Linked DNA regions of Oryctolagus cuniculus. The protein of the gene in region 3 interacts with the protein of the main gene of each other region in a pairwise test. Links are inferred from orthologs where the notes say so. Each region holds a gene or a part of one and is shown on either strand. Other genes may lie near its edges.

Region 1 (3,747 bases), on a different chromosome or scaffold from region 3:
TTGGATCAGTGCGATGCGCTGGCTGCAGCCCGCCGGCCGCGGCGGCCATTGGAGGGTGAACCAACGGCAAAAGGAAGACCTTTTTCTCTGTCTCTCTCTCTCACTGTCCATTCTGCCTGTCAAAAAAAAAAAAAAAATTAATACCAACCTGATGTACAACCTTAGGGGATCGCTTCAGAGAAGAGAGGTGCCATCCACACAAGGGCAGAAAACACCACGGAGAAAGAAATGTGCTCATTGTTTCAGGACTTTTTTTTAGCATAATCTTGGTGAGTGAGGGGCAGGCACCCGGGGCTGCGGGAAGACCACGTGATTGGCCTGCATCCACTGCTGGAGGGTCTGGGTTCAAGTCCTGCTCAGCTCCAGCCCCGGCTTCCTGCTGGCCGGCAGCCGTGATGGTGCCAAGAACCTGGTCCCTGCCACCCACCTGGGAGACCTGGATGGCGCTCCAGGCCCCCGGCCTCAGCCTGGAACAACCCTGGCTTTTGAGGGCATTGAGGGAGTGAACCAGCCAGTCTGTCCCTCTCTCTCTTGCTCTCTCTCACACTACCTTTCAAATAAATTTAAAAATTCAATTAAAAAAACTTTTTAAAGAAAATCAAACCATATCATCAAGCCTAAAAGAACCTTCCCCAAAATATTGGAAGTGATTATCTCAGGGAAGTGAGATTGAAGGTGAACTTTTATCTTCGCTTTGGTTACCAGTGGGTTTTCCCTGCTCTGCAATGCAATTTTTATTTTTTTTATTTGAAAGGCAGAGAGGCCTCCCATCTCCCTGGTTCTCTCCTGGGCTGCAGCCGGACCAGGCAGAAGCCAGGAGCCGGGCATCCAGGTGGGCGGCGGGGACCCGGTGCAGGACCACCCCCTGCGGCCTCCTGGGCGAGCGGCGTTTGAAAGCGGGATGAGCAGACAGTATCTAGCAGGAGCAGATGCACGGTGTGCCGCAGTCAGGAACGGGGTGGCCGCCGCCACTAGTACGCAGCTGCGTGGCTTTTCCAAGACCTCGGCGGAGACAGCGCCGCGGCCTCGCAGAAGTGCCTGCCCGCAGGCTCCGCCCCCTTCCCTGCACTCGCACCCGCCCCTCCCCGGGCCCCTCCCCTGCCCGCGTCGTACCCTTGATCCCGCCCCCCGGCCGTGCGTCCACCGGAAGTGCCCGCGCGCGGGCAGCTCACTTCCGCCCGGCAGGTGACAGCCGCGGGGCTCGGAGCAGCCGGCGGCACGGACGCACCGGCAGGGTGGGAGGAGGAGCAGGAGGCCGCGGACATTTTGCTGCCGAGCCGAACCGAGCCGTGGCTCCAGGAGCCGTTCGGACTTGCCGGTGAGGAAGCAGGGGGCGCCGCGAGGTAGCAGAAGGAGCGGCGTGGGGGCGTCGGGGGGTCTGAGGTGAGGGGTTTGTGGGGGTCAGAGGTCACGGGGAGGACGCGGCGCCGTGGGCGCGCGGCGGCGTCCCGGGGCCGGACGGGGCGGAAGGACTCGGGTTCATTCATTCGCGCCCGCTTGGCCGCCGGCCCGGACCGCGGGCGCCCCGTGTCCGTAGGCGCTCTCGGGGCGCCCGCCCGGAGACTCCCGGACCTTAGGCCCCGAGACTCCCGTCTCTGGCCGGGTGGGGGAAGCTCCTCTGCGGGCTCTGGTTTCCCTTTTCACCGTTACCCCCGTGGTCATCCCGAGGCCTCGTCGGCGTCCAGGGCCGAGGTTCAGAAAGGAAAAATTAAAGTTAGAAAAGAAAAAACCAGCCTTGTGCCGCCCGGGTGGACTTGGGCTTGGTCTGTCCGTTGGCGCTCCGGGGACGAGTGGACGGCATGGGGACGTCTGAAAACAATGCTAAGAGATACTGAGGACCCCCTGCTGAGTCTTGAGCTCCTACTGTGTGTGCGCAGCTGTGCCGAGCGCTTTACGTACAGTGCACATCGAGTCCTTTGCCAGGGCGCTGGTGTTTCGTCCCCCTTTTATCCAGGGAGGTCAGATCACGCATGGAAGGCCAGTTGGGCAGGAGGGGCAGAGCCAGGGTTCCTGCTTAGGCGTTCGGGGCCTCAAAGTACAGAGACCATGGAGAGAGGGGCGCCGTGATCGGGCGTGAGGGGCTGGTTCATATTTTTAGGGGCGTGGGTCAGGGTCAAGACGTGCCCTTATTGCCTGATCTTTCCTAAGGGGCATTTGGTTTGCTTTCTTCACCGTGAGGCAGCCGGGCAGGCTGTTGTAAGTGATCTTGCAGGGGCACGCGTTGAAGGTTTTCCTGACTGTTGGGAACTGTGAGACCCCGAACGGGTTATCCGTGAAGCCGATGGTTCGGATCTCTTGAGAAGTAGCTCAAGAACTGCTTTCCTTTTGGAATAAAGAGGGCACCCAGATGACCATCAGGGGGTCTTGGGTGTGGAAGCGTGTACCCAGAGGGAAGTCTTCGCCCCTCTGAGAAGTGTGCAGAGCCCACGTGGTCCTGCCTGGGAGAGGAGACGCTTGGTGGCCGAGGGTCAGGCTCTGTGTCTGAGCTTTCTTCCAGATAGTGACCACTGCACTTCCGCCTCAGTTTCCCAGACAGCAGCGTGAGAAAGACCTGCTGCCTTCCTACCCTCTCCTGGTGTCTTTTTTTTTTTTTTTTTAAGATTTATTTTAGGAGCTGACACTGTGGCGTACTGGGTAAAGCCGCTTCCTGTACTACCGGCATTCCATGTGAGTGCTAGTTTGAGTTTTGGCCGCACCATTTCTGATCCAGCTCTCTGCTATGGCCTGAGAAAGAAGTGGAAGATGGCCCAAGTCCTTGGACCCTTGCAACCTGTGTGGGAGACCCGGAAGAAGCTCCTGGCTGTTGTGGCCATTTGGGGAGAGAACCAGCGGATGGAAGACTTCTCACTTGCACTCTTTCTCTGCCTCTGCCTTTCAAATAAATAATTTGAAAGGCACAGTTACAGAGAGAGGGAGAAAGAGAGATCTTCCATCTACTAGCTCACTCCCCAGATGGCCACAGTGGTCAGGGTTGGGCCAGGCCGAAGCTAGGAGCCAGAGTCCTCTTCCGGGTTTCCCACGTGGGTGCAGAGGCCCAAGGACTTGGGCCATCCTCCGATGCTTTCCTAGGCACAAGAGCCGGGAGCTGGATCAGAAGTGGAGCAGCAGGGACTCGAACCAGCACTCATATGGAATACCAGCTTGCGGGCTGCAGCTTCACCCGCTACGCCACAGTGCTGGCCCCTCTTAGGTGTCTTAACCGTTAATCTCCCTGTGCGGTGTCCACCTGCTTTTGAAGAAAGCTCTGATAGAGGGCTGGCGCCGTGGTTCACTTGGTTAATCCTCCACCTGTGGCGCCGGCATCCCATATGGCGCTGGGTTCTAGTCCCGGTTGCTCCTCTTTCAGTCCAGCTCTCTGCTGTGGCCTGGGACGGCAGTGGAGGACGGCCCAAGTGCTTGGGCCCTGCACCCGCATGGGAGACTGGGAGGAAGCTACTGGCTTCGGATCGGCATAGCTCCGGCCGTAGTGGCCATTTTGGGGGTGAACCAACGGAAGGAAGACCTTTCTCTCTGTCTAACTCTGTCAAAAAAAAAAAAAAAAGCTCTGATAGAAATGTTAGGGTAGTACTGGTATTCTCTTTAACTCTATGATCTGTTCTCCTAGTGCCACTGACTTCACAGAAACTTAATATTGTCACCTTATCCTCCTCCTTCCAAGGGAAGAATCGGGATAAAGTGACTTGTCACAGAAGGCGGGAACATGAGAGAGCACAGGTCATCTGTGCCCTGAGTTGAGCTCTCACCGCT
Region 2 (3,458 bases), on a different chromosome or scaffold from region 3:
CTGGATGAATTTCCTGGCTTCTAGCTTTGGCCTGGTCCAGCCCCAGTTGTTGCAGGCATTTGGGGATTGAACCAGCAAATGGAAGATTGAAAGATTTTCTCTCTTTATCTACCTTTCAAGTAAATAAAAATAAATAAAATTTTTAAAAATAAGAAAAAAATAAAGATAAAAACTAGAAAGCAGTTAAGTAACAGAGAAAGAGGGAGAGACAGAGGGTAAGAGAGATCTTCATCTGCTAGTTCACTCCCCAAATGCTCACAACACTGGGGGCTAGGTCAGGCCATAACTGCTGTCCCTCATAGTGTGCATTAGCAGGAAGCTAGAATCGGAAGTAGAGCCAGGACTCAAACCTAGGTACTCTGATATGGGATATGGGCATCCCTAGCAGCATCTTAACTCCTGTACAAAACATATACCCTACAGTCCTCTTTCTGCCAGACCTTATGTTAATAAAATGACAAGTGATCCTTCTATCCACAAATATTCATGAGGCCAGTGTTGTAGCACAGCTGGTTAAGTCCCTGGCCATGGTACCTGCATCTCATATGAATGCCAGTTCAAATCCTGGATGCTCCACTTCCCATCCAGTTATCTGCTAACACTCCTGGGAAAGCAATGGAAGATGGTCCAAATGTTGGGCCCCTGCACCCATGTGGGAGACCCAGATGGAATTCCAGACTCTTGGCTTCAGCCTGACCCAGCCCTGCTTGTTGCGGCCATTTGGGAAGTGAGCCAACAGATGGAAGATCTCTCCCTTATTGTCTCTCCCTCTCTCTGTGACTCTGCCTTTCACACAAGTAAACACATCTTTTAAAAATCGATGCATTTAAATTTAGACAATATATTTTCTTCCTCTAGTGAAATAAGAAAATTCACTCTCTCTTGAAGCAAGAGAGGCATTTTCCCTCAAGTTAAAATATGTAAAATCCTTAGAACAGTACATGGTACATAGTAAGTGTTTACAATTATTACTATCCTGGGAATGTATCCATTGGCTACATCAGATATCGGAATACTATTGGATTAAAGGATTTGTGAAATTATTAAGTGTATGTAATAATAATAAAACCATGGGCCAGCATTATGGCACAGTGATCCAGGATGTCTGTGATACTGGCATCCCATGTCAGAGTACCAGTTTAAGTCCCTGCTGCTTTGCCTTCTATCCAAGTCCCTGCTAATGTACCTGGAAAGGTGGCAGATAATGGCTCAAGTGCTTGGGCCCTGTCCACCCATGTGGGAGACCAGGATGGAGTTCCTGGCTCCTGGCTTCAGCCTAGCCCAAACCTGACAGTTGGTGGTCATTTAGGGAGTGAACCAGTGGATGAAAGGTTTCTCTCTCTGTTTCCCTACCTTTCAAATAAATAAATAAACCTTTTAAAAATAAATAAAACCATTATAGCCATTATTTAGAGAATGGTGATGTTTAATATTTTTGTGACTGGGGTCAGCATTGTGGTATAATGGGTAAAGCTGCCACCTGTGATACCAGCATCCTATATGGGCTCCAGTTTGAGTCGCAGGTGCTCCATTTCTGATCCTGCTCCCTGCTAATGCACCTGGGAAAAGAATGGAAGGCGGCCTAAATGCTTGGGCCCCTGCACCCACATGGGAGACCCAGAAGAAGCTCCTGGCCCCTGGCTTCAGTCTAGCCCTGCCCTGGCTGTTGCGGCCATTTGGAGAGTGAACTAGCAGATGGAAGATCTCTCTTCCTTTCTCAGACTTCCAAATAAATAAAATAAATCTTTAAAAAATATATTTCTGTGGCATACATTTATCACCAAGCCTATGATCTTTCTCTAATAATTAGATATTAATTTGAATTTAATGCATGGCTTTGAGCATCTTAAGTTTGTGAACCGAATGAGACCTATAACTCAAACTTTGCTTTTGAAAAGTCATTTTTTACCGCTATCTAAATTTCTGCACAGATCCACCAGGCCTGCAAACTAATCTGCAGAAAATGTAAACGCCACGTGACTGATGTAACAGGACACGTGGTGCAGGAAGGCACGCGGCGCTACAGGCTGTGTAACGAGTGCCTCGCGGAGGTCGGCATCGACAGCCTCCCGGTCGATCTGGAAGCTGAGCAGCATCTTCTGTCCTCATCCGATGCAGAGAAGGAGTCCAGGTGGCGCTTGGGTGAAGACGAGAACAGATCCTACGTGGAGATTGTGGAGGACGGGTCGGCTGATCTGGTCATCCAGCAGGTTGATGACAGTGAAGAAGAAGAAGAAAAGGAAAGAAAGCCCAACATTAGGTAGCCATAAGGGGAACCAGCAGAGCTTGGCATGTGTGCATCTTCATTGCCTCCGTGTGTCTCTTTCCATGGTCAGAGTCTGGTTAGCAAGTTTATTACTGACTTAAAAGGAATGACCTGATGTAACCTGCATGCTTTCTGAACAGGCCATTGTATCCATTCTGAGCTTGGTTGCCCTGTAATACGTTGCTGCACTGGAAAGAAAGACCTAGCTTGAGTTGGCATGATGGGTGGATGATTATCCTCTTACTTTTACTGTAATCCTTTTACATATGCGGAGACACCTTTTTTCTTTTATTATTGGAAGATCTACTTAGCAAACTTTTTTTCAAAGAAAATATTTTAAATAAATTTATCATAACTGAACTTCATGTAAGACAATTCCAAAAATATATATACCATCAATACTGAATTCCGCAGGGAACCAGGTAAGAGCACATTTAAGGGCCTGGCAACCCATCTGCCTGAACTAATATGTTTTCCTATTAACTTCAGATCTGAAACAATATAGCATTATTCCAGTGTCCTAAATGTTTTAGATTATGGCAGAAGAGTAATCTAAGATGTTCAAAATTGTGCGTATTTGAAATTTTTGTCATTAAGTTTAAAATTGCTCTGATGTAGACAGAATTATTAAAAAAAAAAAAAAACAAAACAAAAGTAAGGTTGGCCAAGCATTGTATACACGTTACTTTGCTTAAATCAAGAAATCAATACTGACTTTGAAAAGTCCCTGTGGTTTGTGAAAACCTGTCAAGATATTTCCCTACCTCTCTAGAGAAAAAAAAAAACAAAACTAGAGATCCTTACTAGTCCCCAAGTGTAGTTTCTGACACATGTGTAGTGCTCTATTATTTATAAAGTACTCTCTCATGTTTTATTCACTGATCGGTGAGGTAGACATCATCTCCGATTTACAAATGAGAAATTAATGTCCAAAACTTTAAGTGCTAGAATTGATAATTAGACACATTCTAGGGTTTTTTTTGTGTGTGTTTTGAGGTTTGTTTGTTTGTTTTTAGATTTATTTATTGATTTGGAAGGCAGAGTTACTGAGAGAGGGAGAGACATACAAAGATCTTCCATCCTCTGGTTCACTCCCCAAATGGCCATAATGGCCAAGACTGGGCCAGGCCAAAGTCAGGAGCCTGAAAGTCCATCCTGGTCTCCCATGTGGGTGGCAGGGGCCCAAGGACAT
Region 3 (3,647 bases):
CCTCAGACCATCCCAGCGTCAGCGCCAGGGCTGACATCTCGGGGCCATGTTCCGAAATGTTCGCAGCTCTTGGTGTGCTGAGTGGTTTTGGCTTACATGCCGGCTGTCGGCCGTGACCTATGATAAGGTTCTAGGTTTCGTTTACAACGTAAGGGAAGTGTTGATGCTCTCATTTTAGCCAGCAGTCCACCTGCCTGGGTTCAGGCCACCACTTCAGCGCTCAGCCTGTGGGCCACAGAATCATTTCTGTGTTCAAGGCCTGCGTGCCAGACGTGCGCTGCTGGGGCTCCGTCTGGGGCCTGGGATCTTAGGTCCCCTCACGGGTCTCTGTGTGTAGCCTGAGGAGGTGGGTTGCTGGGCCCCTGGCCCTCTGTTCCCTACCGGGGCCTCCCTGGGTCCTGTGGGTGGAAGCCGGGGGAGAGAGCCCCGCTGTCCCACGTGTCTTGCGTGAGTGCCCTGCTCCCGAGTATCAGGAATCCGCACTGTGGCCCCACAGCCCAGCTGGAGGCTCCCCTGCCCACCTCGCCCTCTCCCAGCTGCCCACCTCGCCCTCTCCCAGCTGCCCCATCTCGCCCTCTCCCAGCTGCCCACCTCGCCCTCTCCCACCTGCCAACCTCGCCCTCTCCCACCTGCCCACCTCGCTCTCTCCCCAGCTGCCCACCTCGCCCTCTCCCACCTGCCCCATCTCGCTCTCTCCCAGCTGCCCACCTCGCCCTCTCCCACCTGCCCCATCTCGCTCTCTCCCAGCTGCCCACCTCGCCCTCTCCCACCTGCCCCATCTCGCTCTCTCCCAGCTGCCCACCTCGCCCTCTCCCAGCTGCCCACCTCGCCCTCTCCCAGCTGCCCACCTTGCTCTCTCCCACCTGCCCACCTCGCCCTCTCCCAGCTGCCCACCTTGCTCTCTCCCACCTGCCCACCTCGCCCTCTCCCACCTGCCCCCCTCGCCCTCTCCCACCTGCCCACCTCGCCCTCTCCCACCTGCCCACCTCGCCCTCTCCCACCTGCCCCCCCTTGCCCTCTCCCACCTGCCCACCTCGCCCTTTCCCACCTGCCCACCTCGCCCTCTCCCAGCTGCCCCATCTCGCCCTCTCCCAGCTGCCCACCTCGCCCTCTCCCACCTGCCCACCTCGCTCTCTCCCACCTGCCCACCTCGCCCTCTCCCACCTGCCCACCTCGCTCTCTCCCAGCTGCTCCCCGCCCCCACCTCAGGCGCACTCTCCGCCTGAGCTCTGGTTCAGCACCTGCTGTCGGGCGAACCTGTGGGTTCAGCCAGTCCCAGCAGGTGGGTCACCCTGCTGTGCCCTCAGGCAACAGCTTGTGTGGCGGCCCGGGCCACCTGCCGGCCCTGGTTGGGACTTCTGAAGAGCTAAGCCTCCAGCTGTGGGACTGGCGCTTCGAGCAGAGCTGCCTGCCCTGTGACAGCGGCCGCAGTAGCTGTGATCCTGCCCAGGGTGCCCTGGGGGAGTAACTTGGAGAGAGCAGAGTATGGCTCCGCCGGGAGGGCCAAGCTCCTCTGCACCCTGGCTGGCACCAGGGCGGGTGTGGGGCTGCCACCTTCCAGGTCTGACTGCAGAGCCCATGGCCGCGTCACCATTGCCTCCAGATCGCGATCAGCTGGACGGGGCAGGGTGCCGGAGCAGCCGGGCCCTGGCAAACATCTCGGCAGCGCCCGCCCTGGCCGGCTGGGGGCACTTGGGGTGCCACCTCAGCGCAGGCCACAGCCCCGAGTGCTGCCCACGGGGCTGGCATCAGCGCCTTCCCAGGCCTACCCGCAGCTGCGGGAGGCAGCTCCCAGAGGAGAGCAGTGAGGGGCCGGCAGGTAGCACACAGGGTCCTGACAGCGCCGCAGGTGCGATCCCAAGGTGCCCTGTCCTGGAGCCCAGGTGGGCCAGTCGCTGCTTCCCGGGGGACACAGCAGCCAGCAGCCTGCCCCTTGCTGGAGGGGAAGACAGAGACAGACCCCCACGGGCCACCGAGACACGGAGGGCAGAGCCTGTCTCTCCAGGTCGGTCTCAGGGCTGTCGCCTGGCACTGCAGGGGCGGGCGCCCTTTGGCCACGTGGTGCCTTCAGACCCTTGCGGCAGGCACTGGGCCCCCGCTGCCTCGGCTCGGCTGGGCTCCAGGGTCGGCCCATGCCCTGCGAGTGTTCTAGTGTCCCTGGGTCAGAGTCCTTGGGGCGGGGGGGGGGGGGGGGGGGGAGGCGGCCACAGCCCCTGCTGTGAAGGCTGGGGGAGGGGTGAGCCCGGGACTCTGAGCAGGGTGTGGGTGGGAGGAGGGCGTGGCCTGGCCTGAGCTGGGCTACCGGGAGGGGGCTGGGTAGGGAGGCGAACCTTGGGAGCACAGGGTGAGCTGAGGCCCCCCGCCCCGCGCCCCCCAGGTGAGCGCCAACGGCAACGTGCTGCGCAGCGAGATCGTGGGCTCCATCAAGATGCGCGTCTTCCTCTCGGGCATGCCCGAGCTGCGCCTGGGCCTCAACGACAAGGTCCTCTTCGACAACACGGGCCGTGAGTAGCCGGCCGCGCTGGGCGGGGGCCTCAGACACCCAGGGTGCAGTTCCCGTCCCTCGGGGCTCTGCTTCTGCCCTCTCCTGGGGCTCTGGGTCCGCACTGGGTGAGGGCCACACACGGGTTCCCGTTCTCGCAGGCTGGCTGGTGCTCCCAGGGTGGGGCAGGGGACGCAGGGGCTCAGCCTGGGGTGGCGCAGGCCTTCTCCGGACTGCGGCCGTGCCCAGGCCTGCCCAGCAGCTCTGCCTGCTCTGGGCGAGCAGAGCCTGACCCACGTTGCCATGTGTGGAGTACAAAGCTGAGAGAGGACCCAGGCCCCAGTGGCGGGGCGCGAGCCCTCGGGGACCCCCACGCTTCACGCAGCCAGGTCTGAGAGTCACTCAGCAGACACATTCCATCCAAGCAGCTCCCCTGTCTGGGCCCTGGGCTGCCTGCTGGAGACTCCGGTGAGCTGGGCCGCCACCGGGAGGAGGCTTGGAACCCGCGTGCCCCGTGCTCTGCAGCTCGGGACACTCTCCCAGGGGCGGCCTGGGCCACAGGAGCCCACACACAGGGCACACAGTGCACACACACACATAGCACACACACACACACCTGTCCCCTGCAGGACGATCTCTCAGGGGCAGCCTGGGGCCACAGGAGCCCGCACACAGGGCACACACACACACACAGTGCACACACCTGTCCCCTGCAGGACGCTCTCTCAAGGGCAGCCTGGGCCACAGGAGCCTGCACACAGGGCACACACACACACACAGTGCACACACGCAGAGTGCACACACACAGTGCACATACACACACACACCTGTCCCCTGCAGGACGCTCTCTCAGGGGCAGCCTGGGCCACAGGAGCCCGCACACAGGGCACACACACACACACAGTGCACGCACACAGGGCACACACACACACAGTGCACACACACAGTGCACGTACACAGAGTGCACACACACAGTGCACGTACACACACACACCTGTCCCCCACAGGATGCTCTCACAGGGGCGGCCTGGGCCACAGGAGCCTGCACACAGGGCACGCACACACACACAGTGCACACACGCAGAGTGCACACACACAGTGTACACACACACACCTGTCCCCTGCAGGACGCTCTCGCAGGGGCAGCCTGGGCCACAGGAGCCCA

The links.
Region 1: the proteins of AP1M1 (region 3) and AP1B1 interact in a two-hybrid assay, tested with the Homo sapiens proteins (2 studies listed by BioGRID, with this or other methods). The link is inferred for Oryctolagus cuniculus from reciprocal best matches to the Homo sapiens genes AP1M1 and AP1B1.
Region 2: the proteins of AP1M1 (region 3) and ZBTB8A interact in binary tests that used the Homo sapiens proteins (3 or more experiments, as listed by UniProt). The two-hybrid records come from large-scale screens. The link is inferred for Oryctolagus cuniculus from reciprocal best matches to the Homo sapiens genes AP1M1 and ZBTB8A.

The regions. Positions count from the first base shown.
Region 1 is NC_091452.1:22,804,827-22,808,573, reverse strand, and holds the start of AP1B1 (AP-1 complex subunit beta-1), read left to right. Parts: upstream 1-1,141; 5' UTR 1,142-1,318; intron 1,319-3,747. UniProt on the Homo sapiens protein: Subunit of clathrin-associated adaptor protein complex 1 that plays a role in protein sorting in the late-Golgi/trans-Golgi network (TGN) and/or endosomes.
Region 2 is NC_091438.1:139,928,545-139,932,002, reverse strand, and holds part of ZBTB8A (zinc finger and BTB domain-containing protein 8A), read left to right. Parts: intron 1-1,931; coding exon 1,932-2,264; 3' UTR 2,265-3,458. UniProt on the Homo sapiens protein: May be involved in transcriptional regulation.
Region 3 is NC_091447.1:64,739,928-64,743,574, forward strand, and holds part of AP1M1 (AP-1 complex subunit mu-1), read left to right. Parts: intron 1-2,377; coding exon 2,378-2,504; intron 2,505-3,647. UniProt on the Homo sapiens protein: Subunit of clathrin-associated adaptor protein complex 1 that plays a role in protein sorting in the trans-Golgi network (TGN) and endosomes.